Lepisosteus oculatus: one gene and its partner. The protein of the gene in region 2 binds, or shares a complex with, the protein of the main gene of each other region. Links are inferred from orthologs where the notes say so. Each region holds a gene or a part of one and is shown on either strand. Other genes may lie near its edges.

Region 1 (8,090 bases), on a different chromosome or scaffold from region 2:
CTTGCGACTTGGCTTCAGGCGCACAATCTTCAGAGCAGCTGGCACCACCATACGCTTCCTCTGCGGGACACATTGGGGAGGGAGAGAGGAGGGGTGTCAAGTTTCACCGAATAGAACCAAAGCCTTTTAAAGGACAAGAGTCAGTGTGTCTCAGATGTGTTTCATGTTCTCATTTAAGAATATTCAAACAATGTAGGTAGAATAGAAGCATCATCGACAGCGCACATCAGAGGATCAGGTGCATGAAGTGTGCAGGAGCCACTCACTTTGTCATAAGGGGGGGGGATTCCATCGAAGACCTTCAGTCTCTCCAATGCAGCCTGGCCTCTTTTTGTTTTGTGTGGAAGCATACCTGTTTACAAAGAAAGGCATAATTACTTCTAAAAAGTCACCATAATTCTTTTTTTTTTTTAATTGAGCACCCCCTTGCTCAGCATTTGGTGAAGCCATGTTTGGCCCTATGCAGTAAAATTATTAAAGGGCATCTATATAGAAGATGCAACTTATCTTAAGTATCAGGGCTACGTTCCTGGAAAAAGACTTCACAAAAGCCTTCCAGAAAATGGAAAAGCATCGCTTTGATTGCAAGAAAAGTGCTGGTTTAACTATTATGGATATACACTATTAAGTAACGTTTATATAGGTTTAAAGAATATCTGAACTCAGCAGTCAGATCCATATTTTTGTCATCAGACCAGGTCAGGTTCGGGATAAGACTCATCACAGTTCAGGAATCAGCAGTCGAGAGCAAGTCGCAATGCCACCCATTTAGGTCAACGCATGCTGTGGCTTCTGTAAGCTGCCGTAACATCGAAGGCTCCAGCCCTCAGAGCGCCTCACCTCGCACTGTCCTCCAGAAGATCCTGCTGGGGGCTCTGAAATGGTAGGGCCCACGGGATGGGTTGGTGTTCATCCTTTTGCGCAAGAAGGCAAGGTACTTCACTGTTCCAAGACAAAAGCTCAACATGAGCATGACCAAACTGTGACAGCACCATGCACTTACTGTGCTACCCAAGACAAAGACCAGCCTCTACCTCCTGCTTAGCCACACATGCATTATTACATTGACTTCAGTTACCCACGGACCTAAGTTCTCAGTTTAGTACAAAAAAAATGCAAAGCCTGCTAGGAATAATGAATAGGTAAATTCTTTACACCATGACCAGAAAATGCATGATTTGCTCAGCAATTCTGTTCTAAGATCTTAGGTCACCCACAAGAAAGGCCATTTCCAGTTCGCTTTGGTCGCCACTATCCTTTTAAACTGAGGGATCCCCCGCAGATATGCCGCAAACATGGACTTAAACTGAAGTGCAGAAGAGGTCACTTACATTTGTTCCGGTAGAAGTTCCCAGAGATATTGATGCCCTCACACCTCACGACAACCACTTTGTGGCCTGTAAAAGTAACAGGCGGTTAGGCACATCGAAGGACTGCTGGACGCTGCCATTAAAAACCATCTGCCGTCTCAGATGGTAGTGCATGTCAAGTTTTCTCATGGTAGTTAAACTCGAACAATGTAGGATAAGCATCATCATAGACAGTCAGGTATTTGTCAGTCCATTTTTTAGACAACTGAACTTCTTAAAATGACCTCTAAAACGTTTATTTTAATAAACTACTTCAACTGGTAGTACAATCTGTAACTGCTTTTAGCAATTACATATTGCAGCAGAGGTAGAAGTGAAAGATGGTGAAAAAGGTGGCTTATTTACAACCAGGTACAAGCTCATTATGACACCAACCCTGCAATCAGAGGGGAAAAAGGCAGTGGGCACACGTCCCAGATGGGACACTGCACAGGTCCTCTTTCTTGAACAAGGGATATCACTTGGGCTGCTTCAGACAAAACTGCCCAAATAAACGACAGAAAGAAAGATTCTTACCAAGCAGAACCTGTTTGGCCACAATGGCAGCCAGGCGACCAAGCAGATGGCCTCTGCCATCGAGTAGCAGAACCTGGAGGAAAAGAAAATTACGAGTTAGAGCCGACGAGCTACTGCTGACCACCAGGGCATTGGGAATGAGCGCACTGCACCTCAGCAACTGCTACGTCGAAAAGTATTTCGCCACTAATTTGGGGGCAAACATTTTAAACTAAACTGAACGCAACGTCCTAATTCATATTAATAAAGATGGTCAACATCATATATAAACTGAAAAGGCCATCATTAACTGCACTCGCCAAGTAACACGCGTTGGTAAGAGTTGTGCTGAGCACACTTCTACGGGATCCAGATTTGGTTGCAAATTTCAGAAACTTATCACGCGGGACAACGTTTGCCATGAAAATCAATTATTCACTTACGAAAATGCTTCACCGACACCCAAGACCACTACAAAACGTTATTTTGTTTCTCAACACAAATCACAAAGGATGAGGTAATCACAAAACAAAAACCGTGAAAGGAAGAAACGCTTAATAGCACTTTCAAAGTAATACGTGAGGGAAACAACGTGTGGCGCTTTAATAAAAATTAATCGTTAAGTACATTCGCGCTTTACGACGGATGAAAATATGCAGCCCGGTTTTAAAACGAGGTTCTTCACAAAAGAAAATATTTTTACATCAACCAGAGCTGCCTACAATTGTACAGAATACCGCACTACACAGAAATGGGTCCGCTTCATCACACTGTCCGCAAGCATGAATGGATTCAGGCCTACGAGACACGCAGACATGGCGACGGGAATTATCTCATTACAGGCTTGGAGAGAAACTCAACATAACAGGGAGAAGGAAACAGAGCAGCAGCACGGACATTTTTGGAACATTCTTCAACGTGTCAGCCTAATTCGCAAATTGAAAACCTGATAACGTGCCCCAGAGACAGGGAGTACTCCATGCCGGTCCAACACTCCTATCGCAAGGCAAAACAAAACCACAAAATTCAATTGATTCACTGCACCAAACTCCTCGGTATTGAACACACGAAACAGAGAGACTTCCACACAGGCACTGACCCTTCCTCGGTTCCAGAATACCCATCTTTACCCAACATTTTTTGCCTGTGCACAGCAGCCCCGTAACACACCTTATTGAAGCGGTCCGCCATGATGTGGGAAAAGAGAGAGAAACGGGGACGCCGCGAGTAAAAATCAGGGGCGAGGGAGGAGCTTCGTGCAGAGAGGAAGCGCTGTTCGTGAGCCGGACGACGAACGTGTGACGGAAGACGTCGTGACGTCCGGCAGTGGCTGCTGACGACAATAATAAATAAAGAGAGAGGTAAAGCTTAACCGCTAAGACCTCGTGGCGCAACGGTAGCGCGTCTGACTCCAGATCAGAAGGCTGCGTGTTCAAATCACGTCGGGGTCATTCGTTTTTTATTAAGATCTCTTTTTTTTTAACGTTGACATATATAACAAGTCACATATTCGATGTTTAACCCTTACGCTATTTACAACCCCGGTAAATAGTAATATTCTAAGTGTCCCGTGTCTCACCTTCAGCCCTAAATCTAAAGTCTAGGCTCTTAAAATCTAAGATTTTAAAAACGCGTGTATAAATATACAGTTTATCAGAGATGATAATCCCTGAAACGGGCAGTCCACAGCTTTGGATGCATTGTGCGTTACTCTAGTTCTTTTACATCAGTGTGACTGTCTTGCCTGACTTCCTAACGAAACGTGGAGATATTTATCCCTAAAGAACTTTACATGCCAACACAGTTTTGTCAAGACTTTGGTACTACAAAGCTTCGTAGTTTTTTATCGAATTTAAATGAATTAGCTGGATATAGTAAGGTACTCCCAAAAACCTTTACTACAGTCTGCACCCCTTTGGCTCCTGAAATGTGTTCTCACACCTCTTATCAAAATTGCTTTATCAAAAAGTTTTATCATACATAGAAATACTACTTCTATATTATAAGAACGTTTTAAAATTAACACTTTTCAACCTGTTTTGGAATAATATATTTTAATTTTGCAGTAAAATTGAGAATACATGAACAATTCTAAAACAATCTAGCATGTTTAACACCCCAGAAAGGACAGCTGGGGTGTTTCGTTCGCCCCAAGTTAGGAGCCACTGCTCCAAGGAGTACTAAAATCGCCTAGTTGATAAATTTGCTAGCTATGCTAGTGACAGCTAGTCAGACAGCAGATCACAGTAACAGACAGCATGTGGAGTCCAGGCAGGTGCCAGAATGAGAATTCCAAGACTGACTAGTAATTTAGTAAAACTCCTACATGATAATTCTGGTCCAAATCATTCCGCATATTCTTTTGAGACACCCCCTGTTTGTCATATGAAATTGATGATCGACTTGGATCAATAGCACTGACAGTTCTCCCAAACTCTGCATGTGTAAGGTCGAAAAGGAGAGCTCTTTCTGATTTCTGTAGAGTGGGGTTCTACAGAAGCCCATATTCTGTGGGTTTTCATTCCTCTACGGCTCTCTCTGACCCACATCTCCTCCTTCCTCAGTTACTCCTGCTTGAATTAGTTCCAGAAAAGATGAAGTGACAGTGGCTTCCCTGATCACAATAAATCGGTGTCCTGAAAGTGGTGCTTTAATAGTGACGTATTAGACCAGCTGGATGTGGTTCTTCATGGCTGAAAATCCCCCTGTCACAAGTGTGTAGTTCCTGGTTTCAGGTCCAATCCACAACATTTTCAGACAGCTGGAGGGAGACTACCTTAATACGAATGTTTATATACTGTACAAAGCAATACAGGCACGCAGCTGGCAAATATACTTAAATTGCATCCCCAAATAATTAAACTTCTATACTGACAAATGTAGGATGCTGATTGGTATTTTGGTTAAGGTTTCTTAAACAGAGATGCAGAACAACATCACTCCTTTCGTAATTCCTTTGTGTAACAACATGCATTACTCCATAGTATCACTTATACCAATAGAATCACAGGCATTTATTCGTTCTTATTCATAATGTTTAAGAAACATGCTTTCAGATGAAAAAATGAGGAGGTGAGAAATGATGAGGACTTTCTGCAGATGCAGCTCAGGCCCTGGAGTGTTTGTACAAAAGTTTATTTTGCTTGATGTTTTTAATGCAGGGTGTCATGATGTTGAATTAGTTATGATTGTCACATAGCCCCATTCAAATAAAGCATTATCAGTATTTTCCCTAACAGAGTAAAATCTAAGATACAGTGAGATTCTTTTACAATAAAAACAACACAGACAAAGGTTCCCTGTTGAAAATGATATGTGCATTTACTTGACATGGCATGTATAACAGAACATCAGCAAACTGCAGGACGGGCGGCACAGAGCCCGTGGGGTGGTGGGGGGGGCTCGCCTGGCAGATCCGCCCCACTCAGTCGTCGTGCTTGAGCTTCCTGATCTGGCCCTTGCGGCGGTCGATCTCTCGCTGCAGGCGCTCGATCTCCTTCTTGTGATGGTCAATCTCCTCTTCGTGGTGCTTCTTCAGGGCACTGAGGGCCTCGCGCTCCTTCTGCCTGAAGAGGGGGCAGAAGGAAAAAAAGAACAGGGTAAGAATGGGGATAAGTAAGCTAAAGACATCAACAACATCAACAAAAGTCAAGCACAAAATGGGAGCAAAATCAGAGCTCTGGTTTGTTATAAGGACCATTAGCCCCGATGACAACTTTCACACTTTCCCTGCTTCTGGTGTCCACTCAGTCCCCTGTATCGCCCCCTTGTGGTGGTCCCAGCCAATCAATCAATCAAGGTTTATTTAACAATGCACGAACAGTACAGCAAATATGGGCGTTGTCTGCAATGAAACGCTTTATCCGCGAGCTCGTTAAGAGGGATAGAAGAGGAGTAGGACAGAAGTTTCTAGGGATTAGGTTAGGATTGCAATACAATAAATTAAATAAATTACTACTTACAAAACAGTTACAGATTGCAGGAACGTAACACAAGGATAGGAGGTATTTAGCGCTGTTCATATGGACAGCGGGAGCACGCGGTCTCTGACCACCTGTGGGCACCTCTTCAAGACCCACCTGTGTAGACTCTGCCTTCAGACTGTGCGAGTCGCCATTTGAATTTCTGCACCGTGTGTCGTTTTGCTTTTAAGCTCCCGCTGACCATCGAGCGGGCAGAGCACCTACTTGAAGTATCGCTCCTCCTCGGCCGCTTCCCTCTTTCCAAACGCCCCGCCGGCCTCACGCACCGATCCCCCGCCGCCGCCTCCCTTTCCTGCCCCCTTGCCCAGCTCGCCCAGCTGCAACAAGAGGACCGCGCATTAAAACATGACATGAGTCCCGTGTACACAATGGCACGATTCACCTGGACAGCGGGCCATCCATTCATTCTCCAACCTCTTCTTAGAATCCGGGGTCGTAGAGGAGCTGGAACCAATCCCAGCAAGCAACAGGCACAAGGCAGGGCACACCCTGGACGGGACGCCAGTTCATCACAGGGCTCAGACACACACTAACTCCCACCAGGGCCAATTTTTCCCACAAAAGTTGCTGGTTAACCCATCAGTGCGTCTTTGTCTTGTGGGAGGAAACCCATGCAAATAGGCTGAGAACATAAAAACTTCACACACACAGCTCCCCAGGCTTGGTATTGAACCCAGGGTCCCAGCACTGGAAGCAGCATGTCTTGTGTAAGAGCTCTTATTTACTATATGCATTTGCTGCAATGGCAATAGAATAAAGATCTGAATACGACTACACAAACAGGCTCCTCAACACCCTGGAATCTACTTGCACCCGCCCCAATTCCAGAAACAGGGTTTAAATCCCCCCCCCCCCCAGTGCGTTGTGTATATTGTATTATGTATTTGCACTATGTGTATCCTGTCTACAATGTCTATGTCAGTGTCCTGTCTGTATTTGCACCGTGGACCTCTATACTGTATACTTGTTTATGGCTGGAATGACAAATAAACGTGAACTTGAACTTGAGAGGGCAAGACTTTACAGCTGTACTCATTCCCCCATGGCATGCTTCCATAATTCTTCAAACAAGTCATCTAACAATCACGTTTAATCTCCTGAATCTACCTACATTATTATTAAAAGCAGTTGTGCTTCCTTTCTCTGCAATCACGTATTCGTCCTTTGCATCTCTATGCGTAGAGGGCTGCTCTGTCTGCAGGTTTTCATTCCAATTTGACTCGTATCGACCTAAACCAGTTTGCAATTGGCTTAATTGGACTAGTTTTCTCAATTTCTTACTTCTCGGGTGATGCTGCTTTAAAGAGGCCTGAAAAACCTGCAGACAGACTCCATGACAGCAGTTGGATCACAGCAGCTCTCTAAAACAAAGAAAGTTTAAAAATCCCTTCGTCACTCCAAGGGCTGAGGGACCGTGAAGCACTTCACCAGTAATGCAGTTGCAGCCAAATACCCCGGCTTGTTTTATGAAATCTCTGGATCAAATCCTCAGATCAGACCGGCTGGATGAGCCAAATAGCCTTATCTTATTTGTTATATAAACTGTGGAACTTTATTGTTAAGCCAATAGAAAGTTCACTGTGCAATTTCAAATATAAATGAGTAAGTGACCCAACCCAGACCAGCTATTTAATAAAATAAACGTCTCTTTAAATGATTAAGAAAAACGAAGTTAATGTAAATCGTTGCAACGGCAATCATCGTAATACCCCTTTGTTACTTCTCTCGTAAATAAAGGTGAAATTAATCAAAGACAACAAAACAAGAACAGACTTTCAGGGCCGCGCATTCTTCATTGCGTATGACTTCTTCACTTTAACAGCAGAATAATGTGTAAACCTCACTTTCCCAGGCTTGGAAATTTTACATTTTCGTAAACACCCCCCTTACCTGGCTTGAATCCGATGACATCCTAATCTGAGCTGCGAGGAGACCCCTAAAGTTAGACCTCAAAAATCTAGCCATTTTCTATTCCCCTCGCTTTCAAACAGTCGCTGTCAAGTCAGGGTGTCCTTGTGTTTTATATGGAAAGCCTCGGGCCCACCAACACCTTTCACGGAGTGTGTTTTTGTGCGGTACCTTTAAGATACAAAGCTCGATCTCCCTCTGTGAATATCAATACAATAAAATCAGTATAAACATCTATGTCTCACTATCAATAACAACAAACTCTGGACATGTTGGACACGCCTCTGCAACACGTTAGAGATTGTAAACCGCAGTTAATACTCTACAACGCCGG
Region 2 (7,142 bases):
CACCCCAGTCCTGACTGGCTGGCTACCTCCAAACTGGAGGGGAGGAGTCATCCCACTGCTCCCTTCTTCAGCTGGAGAGGAAAGCCTGAAAAAAGCCACAGCACACCAGAACTGAAATGGGCAGCCCTTGTAAGTCACCAGGCTTGATTGGAGAAGGTCCTTTAAAATTATAAACCCTATTGTGTCCTTTCATGCAGCTGAATTCCCATTTTAACACTAGCTTCCAGAAGTGCATCTCGGGTTCAAGTGGTGGGCATCATCAGGACAAGCCAGCACCTGCTGTACAGAGGTCTAACACATCCTGTAGTGGGAAACCCACTTAGGAACTGCAGGCTTGGGTTGTATAGCGCCTCCACAACCAGCAAAGCTGACTGAACCACTCCAGGTCACAGAGTGGGAGCCTGACCTATAACTAAAATGCCATTACTGAACGGATCTCATTTGTGGACCACATTCCACCCAGGAAAAGGCTAGAGGTCGGAGTTAAAGATCACTGGATGACCCCCAGCCTTCAAGAAAGGTTATTCGCCTAAAATAGGCAGAGAAGAATGCGACAGCTGTGCCTCGACTAGTGTCACTTAACAGAACTAAACTAAAAATAGAGCAGACCAAGAGGCCAACTGTACAGGTTACAGAGCACAGACTGAAGAGTACAGTAGACGAACAGGGCAAGGAGGTGTAGGGCAAACCTCCAGACTACCAGCCTTAATGTTTGACTGGGGCACTCAATCTAAACTTACAGTCCCCCCACCCCAGTATTCAAAAGTGGCATGGAGATCAGGGACTGAAGTTTCACTATAACCCCTGATCTTTACATGTGGTTTTAGTTTTTGAATCCAAGCAAGATAGCAGCTCGCCGTCTCTCTGGACTAAGGGGAGCAGAGAGCAAGCCAGACAGTGCAGTAGCACTTGCGACTCAGCAGGACAGCTGGTAGTTTGGGTGTAACAATATTGTGGCAATATGGGTCTTTGGATCCACCCCCAGCAAATCAAGCAACTGAAGCAGAAACTCAAACACCGATGGCTTTGTAGGAGCGTAGTTTAGTCAGCTAATCTAAAGTCATGCCAGGGAGGAACACTGGCATCATTAACCACCTAGTTGACACTCCAAGCTTGCTGGGCTTGGTCCGACTTCCAGATCGTTCTTCTCCCCACCCAGTTGGGCCAGTGGCAACACTGCAAAAGCCAGCTAGGGGCCGAGGAAATCAAGCCAAGCAACCTGCCAGAATAAAACCGCAGAACAAGGGGGGAGCACTGCACCCAATGGGTTATGGGGAAGATGGAACAAGAAACTCAGCCATGTTGAAAGCCGGTCTCCAGCTGTCTTGTGCAAAGCCAGGTTAAGACCCTCGAGTCTTGAGATAACCGCTTTTAGCTTCACAGGCTAAAAGCTCTCTGATCAGGCCTCCCCCCGGTGGGTTAGGGCACCAGACTCAAAAGCACTGGCCTCAGACTCAAAGTCCCAGGTGGAAATGCATCAGCTGGACACCCGATTGGGAGTTGCTGGTGAACCCAAGGTTGCAAATGAGCACCTACAATAAGAGTCAGATTAAGCCCCTGCTGTTGTGTACTCATGTCCAGAGCGGTACAAATAGCACAGCCTCTTCCAGATCAGTACATAACAGACTGAGGTGTAGCCATTTCAGTCAATGTAAGGCACAAGGACCTCAAAGAGAGCCATGTGAAACCAGGATCTGGAGGGATAGTTACTACCCACACTATATAGTGGAGCAATCAAGTTTCCCCTTAATCCAAGCAGGTCATGTAGGCCCACAGGTTCCACTGGGGCAGAAGAGACATTATCTGCTCCTCTCCTGACCTTTTGAGCTCCGTTGAACAACACTCCCAAATTTGGAGGCACTGCTTAAAGGCCAAGGTGGAGAGCCACTTCAAGTCAAGAGCTCTCCTCCTCATGAAGCCTAAAGCATTCAAAGCTAAATGCACATCTTGAAAGAATGAAAGCCAGTTACCTCCAAAACTGGTTAGATGCTTAAATGAAACCAGGTTAACCGAATTACAAGAATGAGATGGCAGGCCCTTTCAGGACGTTAGACTTTGAAATTAGGCTCTCATGTGCACCAGATCCAACACACAAAGTTGGATCACTTACACCTTCCACACAGTGGATCAGTGACCTGATGAAGGTTTACTCACCCGTTGATTCCAATTTTCACCATGGTTAACAGGTTAAAGTCCTCGTCTAGAAGGAGGAAACAAAAAAAAAAAACATTAAGAAAAAATGCACCCCGAATGACACGGAACAAGCTCAGGCGCAGTAGCGTCTAAAACGTCATAAGCCAACCGCCAAAAATAAAAAAACGAAACTAGTTCCAAAAGTTTTCCCGTTTCTCCTTTAAGTACAAGGTTGTACCGAAGCCAGAACCGTCCCTAGGCACTTCAACAGATACCGCCCACCCACACTAAGCATCCTGTAGAAATGAGAACTGGCGAACATTAAACTCGCACCTATGTCGGAGGGGAGCCGTATTCCGTAGAACATCGGCGCACTCACAACGCAGCGAGCTTACGATTCACACACGGCGCCATGCTAGACTTGAGACTGCAGCCGTGCTCGCTCGCTAAACGGTAAGCGACAATGAAGCAAGCAGGTCGCCATCTCTCCACCCCCCCCACACACACACACTACAAGTATTCCTTTACGCGAAACGGAGGTGTTGCAAGACGGAGGAGCAGAGAACCCCAATCAAGCGAAGAACAGCGGTACTGTGCAGTAGGAGCGCGTCATTAGAAGACGATACAGCCTTGCAGCCTCCGAAAACAAGACCTTTCCGCACAGAACTGGGCACTTCACAGCAAAACGACTGCTAGGTGCACAGACGACAGATGCAAATAGTCTATCCGATAGCTCCAAATACAAAGGCGCAAAAAAGTGGTATATTGAGCCCTATTACATCCCTAGACACTCAACACAAAGTCCAGCTTCAGGAAACCACATACTTACCGTTTGTGAGTTACAGCTCCTCTGCCCTTCCGGAAACTCTGACTTTCAGTGGAGTGAAGAGCCAGTGGCCGGGCTGGTGCACTTTATACCGGTAAGCTGGCGACGGTCACGCCCCCCCCCTCCCCGCCCTGCCTCCTGCCGGCGCTCCGCGGGCGGAACCTCAAGGTCACCCGAGTCCGCGGCCGCCATGACGGCTCCTGCAGAACACACGCGAGCAGCGTGCGGGGATAGTGCGTCACGGCGCTGCATGGGAAGTGTCCCGATGCTTTTTTTTTTGTATGTTTCCCTTGCTCTTATTGCTTGTGACCTCATGCATTTATTCTTGATCTAATGCGATGGCCCCGTGCACTATATCACAATACAGAATTGAAGTGAGAGATTATAATAATAATAAACTTTATTTTATATAGCGCCTTTAAAGGTGGCTTCTCAAAGCGCAAAGATTATTTCAAAAGTACTGTTAACAAACGCGATACTGCATACTGCAACGCGTTGTTTTTTTGTGGGGTGGGGTGGTTTGGAGATGAGCTAATAATATGCACTTCAGAGTTCTCCTTCGTGGAATGAAGGAGTTTGAAAGACCCGTGTATGGCACCTATATTAGAAAGACGTGGGTGATGCTGGCGCGCTGGGTGTGGCGAGGGGGACGCGTTCCTATTGGCTGGCGCAGGCCGGAGGCGTCGCCTCGTCTTCAGTACAAAGGTCTCCTTGATGCAGGAGACAGGAGGCTCCGAATTCATCATGAGCAGCCTGTCATATTACCGCGGTCAGGGGTGGTTAGGCCACAGCGCAGGTGTGACATTTGATCTCTGGGGTGCTGTGTAAGCATTGACCCTTCCCAAATGTGTAAAGGTGCCTTTGAGAAAGATAATAGAGGCTGTTGCTACAGCTACTAGAATAAAAGCAGAAGAAGAATAGGGTGGTTTCGTAACCAATAAATTATTCATGGAACAAGTAATAGGTTTATTCCATGATGAAAAGAGAACGTTGTGTTTCTTTTCTTCTCTTTTCAGCAGGGCATGACTCCATTGTTCCTCTGCAGCCTATTCATGCTGACGCAGCTCCCCACCTGAACTACTTCAATAAATTATGAAATACTTAAAATAGTAATGGTTAATAGACAGGAGAGCAGCAGACGCGCATGACTTTAACGTATACAAGAGAGCGAATCGCAAGAAGTGTTTTGCCAGTGTAAACGGCAGCCGATGAGCGGGTTTGTAATTAAGTTTCTAGCCTCACGACCTATCCCGGAGACGGCCTCCCCGCCCCCTGCCCCTCCCCCTTTGTCTTATTGGTGGCCTCCGCTGCCACTCCGACTCTCCGACGTCACTCGTTGGCTGCGAGGAGGCTCTGTGGCTGCGTTGCCACGGCGACCGAGCACACGCTGGATCGGCCGCACTGGGGCTACGTGGGGATCCGCGCGTCTGCCGTTCCTACCCCGGCCGTCGGGTTACGACTGCATGCGAGTGAAAGAGACGGGCCATGGTCTAAAACTCAGAGGCAGAGGCGCACTCGCAAAGACATTCAGGCCACACACGCCGCCGCCAGGACAGGCGGACAGGGGCGTGAGCGCCGGGAGTCTGGTTGGCGAGATCGGTTGCCTGCATCTGACCTTCTCCAGAGACGGAGAGACTGGGGGGATCGATTTCCGTCTGGGAGCTAGGAAAAGGTCAGCTCAGCGCTCGCTGGAAGGACCCTGACCTTTCCGTGCCCCCACTCTCTGTACCTCGCTCTTTCACCGTGGTGCTAATGCCCAGGCAGTCAGTCGCAGTGTCTGAAATTGCCTTTAAGTCACCATGGATATGCTTGCACTACACTGTACTGTATTTCCCCGAGTAAGGTACAAACTGTACTGTATTATATATAGTGCCAGATTGATACTGCAATTTATCAATGTAGCTGTCTATGGTGTGCTGTTCTGCCCTATAATGTACTATACTACATTATAGGGCAGAACAGATATACTACATTATATACCAGATTTACATTGTACCGTATTTACAGAGCCTGGTCTTCACTGTACTGTATCTACAGAGACTGATCTACACTGTACTGTATCTACAGAGCAGATCTACACTGTACTGTATCTACAGAGGAGGTCTACACTGTACTGTATCTACAGAGTCTAATCTACACTGTACTGTATCTACAGAGCAGGTCCACACTGTACTGTATCTACAGAGTCTAATCTACACTGTACTGTATCTACAGAGCCTGATCTACACTGTACTGTATCTACAGAGCAGGTCTACACTGTACTGTATCTACAGAGCAGATCTACACTGTACTGTATCTACAGAGTCTAATCTACACTGTACTGTATCTACAGAGCAGGTCCACACTGTACTGTATCTACAGAGTCTAATCTACACTGTACTGTATCTACAGAGCCTGATCTACACTGTACTGTATCTACAGAGCAGGTCTACACTGTACTGTATCTACAGAGCAGATCTACACTGTACTGTATCTACACAGTCTAATCTATACTGTACTGTATCTACAGAGCAGGTCCACACTGTACTGTATCTACAGAGTCTAATCTACACTGTACTGTATCTGCAGTGCCTGATCTGCAGTGCCTAAAGAGAAGAAAGGAAACCACGTTTCGGCTGTGGAACCTTCTTGGGGGTGTCGTTAATGACTGGCCGGGTGAGCCAAGATACCCTCCCCCCCCCCCCAGCCGGGCAGCAGGGAAAATAGGTAGTTTGGCACCGGGTCCGACCAGCCAGGCGCTCCGCCAGCACTCAGCACGACGAGCCTACCGGCGACTGGGTCCAGTGCCAAGCTCCCGAGGAAAGGAGGCAAAAAAGGGGACAAATAAAAAATTGGGAGAGCCGCTCGGGTCCGAAACCCCGCTCAGCCCCGGTAGACACCGGACCGCAGGGGGATCTGACCTCAGTGGCCGGGCAGGGAACTGCTGTGGGCGGCCTGGACGGAGGGAATCGGAAATCCTGGCGCCGGCTAGACCGGGCCGACAGAGACATATTTGGCCCTCGCTTGAAAACCCGACCCCCGGCTTCCCCTCTCCATCCACTCCCAGAGTCCTCCTTCGGTGAATGCCACACGCTGCGGTATGAAAAGGGGGTTGCTTGCATCCCGGTCAGAACCTGTTCATTACTGACCGAGCCATCTAAAAGACATCTCGCTCGACCCACAGCTGGTTTCCAGCTGGTCAGCGCTTCTGCGGAGGACGGGACGACCGTCGTTTCGGAGCCGGGACAGGTGAAAGGCATGGACAACAGCAAGTGGTCGGACTTGGAGGGGCTCTTGCGCTGTGCAAATCCAGCCCCAGCAAGCACTTACCCTGATCGATAAAGGACAATCACCCTTTTTTTATGAACGTCGGTATCACTATAGAATCTTGACTTGTTAAGAGTGTGTACTTAGTGTAAGAGGTTTATTGTGAATTCAAGTTTACCTCGATCCACTGTAGGAACTAAACTTACAAGAAACAGCCCCGCCTTGTTCCCCCTTTTAAAGAAAGTGCGTCCCCTGTCTCCGAGCTGAACTGCCAACAGGTGAAACGTTTCTCATGGGGAAGCGGCGCCTTTTTGTTAATACGCGTCGCAATGCTGACACCCAGTGGCTTCGCGAGAAACTGCAACGTCGCATCTTCGGATCTGATCAAGGAGCTGTCCCACGACGGAGCTCCGACAGTAATAATGCAGCCCAGACTCCGAAAACCCACACAAATCTTTTATTTTGACAGCATCTCCGGACACGGTGTTGGTTTGTTGACGATGAACAAGCGGCACACGACGAGGGCAGGACCCGACGGAGATGGGACCTGGGGCCCGGGTCTCTCCAGCCTCTCTCCTCGGGGGGGTGTCGAACTCCTCCAGCCGGCCGGGATCAAGGAATCACCGCGGGTGGTGGAGAGTTTCCCTTCACATCAGGCTCATGGCTTGGTGAATTTCTCCTCCAGTAAATACACCCTCCCCCCATCCAGCAAAAGCTACTCTCGGTTACATAAGCAGCGTGTAGTTTTATTACAGACAGGTAAAGGAAACAATACTACAGTGACAGTAGGATGCCATGCCATAGCGAGGCACTGTGGGCCAAAACTGAAACTAGTCTTTCATGAAACATGTCAACAAATGCACGGTGCTGCAGTCCACACTATTCTGCACAGCGGTGCTGGGGGGCTCTTGTTCAACGGTAGCCAGGCCATTCTCGT

The links. Proteins that work in one complex are often made in the same cells at the same time.
Region 1: gapdh (region 2) and rpl13a share a complex: the UniProt entries of both Homo sapiens proteins name them as parts of the GAIT complex. The link is inferred for Lepisosteus oculatus from reciprocal best matches to the Homo sapiens genes GAPDH and RPL13A.

What each region holds. Positions count from the first base shown.
Region 1 is NC_090706.1:7,938,297-7,946,386, reverse strand, and holds the start of rpl13a (large ribosomal subunit protein uL13), read right to left. Parts: upstream 3,133-8,090; 5' UTR 3,057-3,132; coding exon 3,036-3,056; intron 1,960-3,035; coding exon 1,887-1,959; intron 1,546-1,886; exon of another isoform or gene 1,463-1,545; intron 1,398-1,462; coding exon 1,332-1,397; intron 943-1,331; coding exon 841-942; intron 730-840; exon of another isoform or gene 660-729; intron 353-659; coding exon 267-352; intron 222-266; exon of another isoform or gene 144-221; intron 61-143; coding exon 1-60. Other genes in the region: atp5if1b (ATPase inhibitor B, mitochondrial), read right to left, coding at 5,290-5,431, 6,053-6,165, 7,739-7,813. UniProt on the Homo sapiens protein: Associated with ribosomes but is not required for canonical ribosome function and has extra-ribosomal functions.
Region 2 is NC_090718.1:3,652,475-3,659,616, reverse strand, and holds the start of gapdh (glyceraldehyde-3-phosphate dehydrogenase), read right to left. Parts: upstream 3,064-7,142; 5' UTR 2,963-3,063; intron 2,201-2,962; 5' UTR 2,178-2,200; coding exon 2,155-2,177; intron 1-2,154. UniProt on the Homo sapiens protein: Has both glyceraldehyde-3-phosphate dehydrogenase and nitrosylase activities, thereby playing a role in glycolysis and nuclear functions, respectively.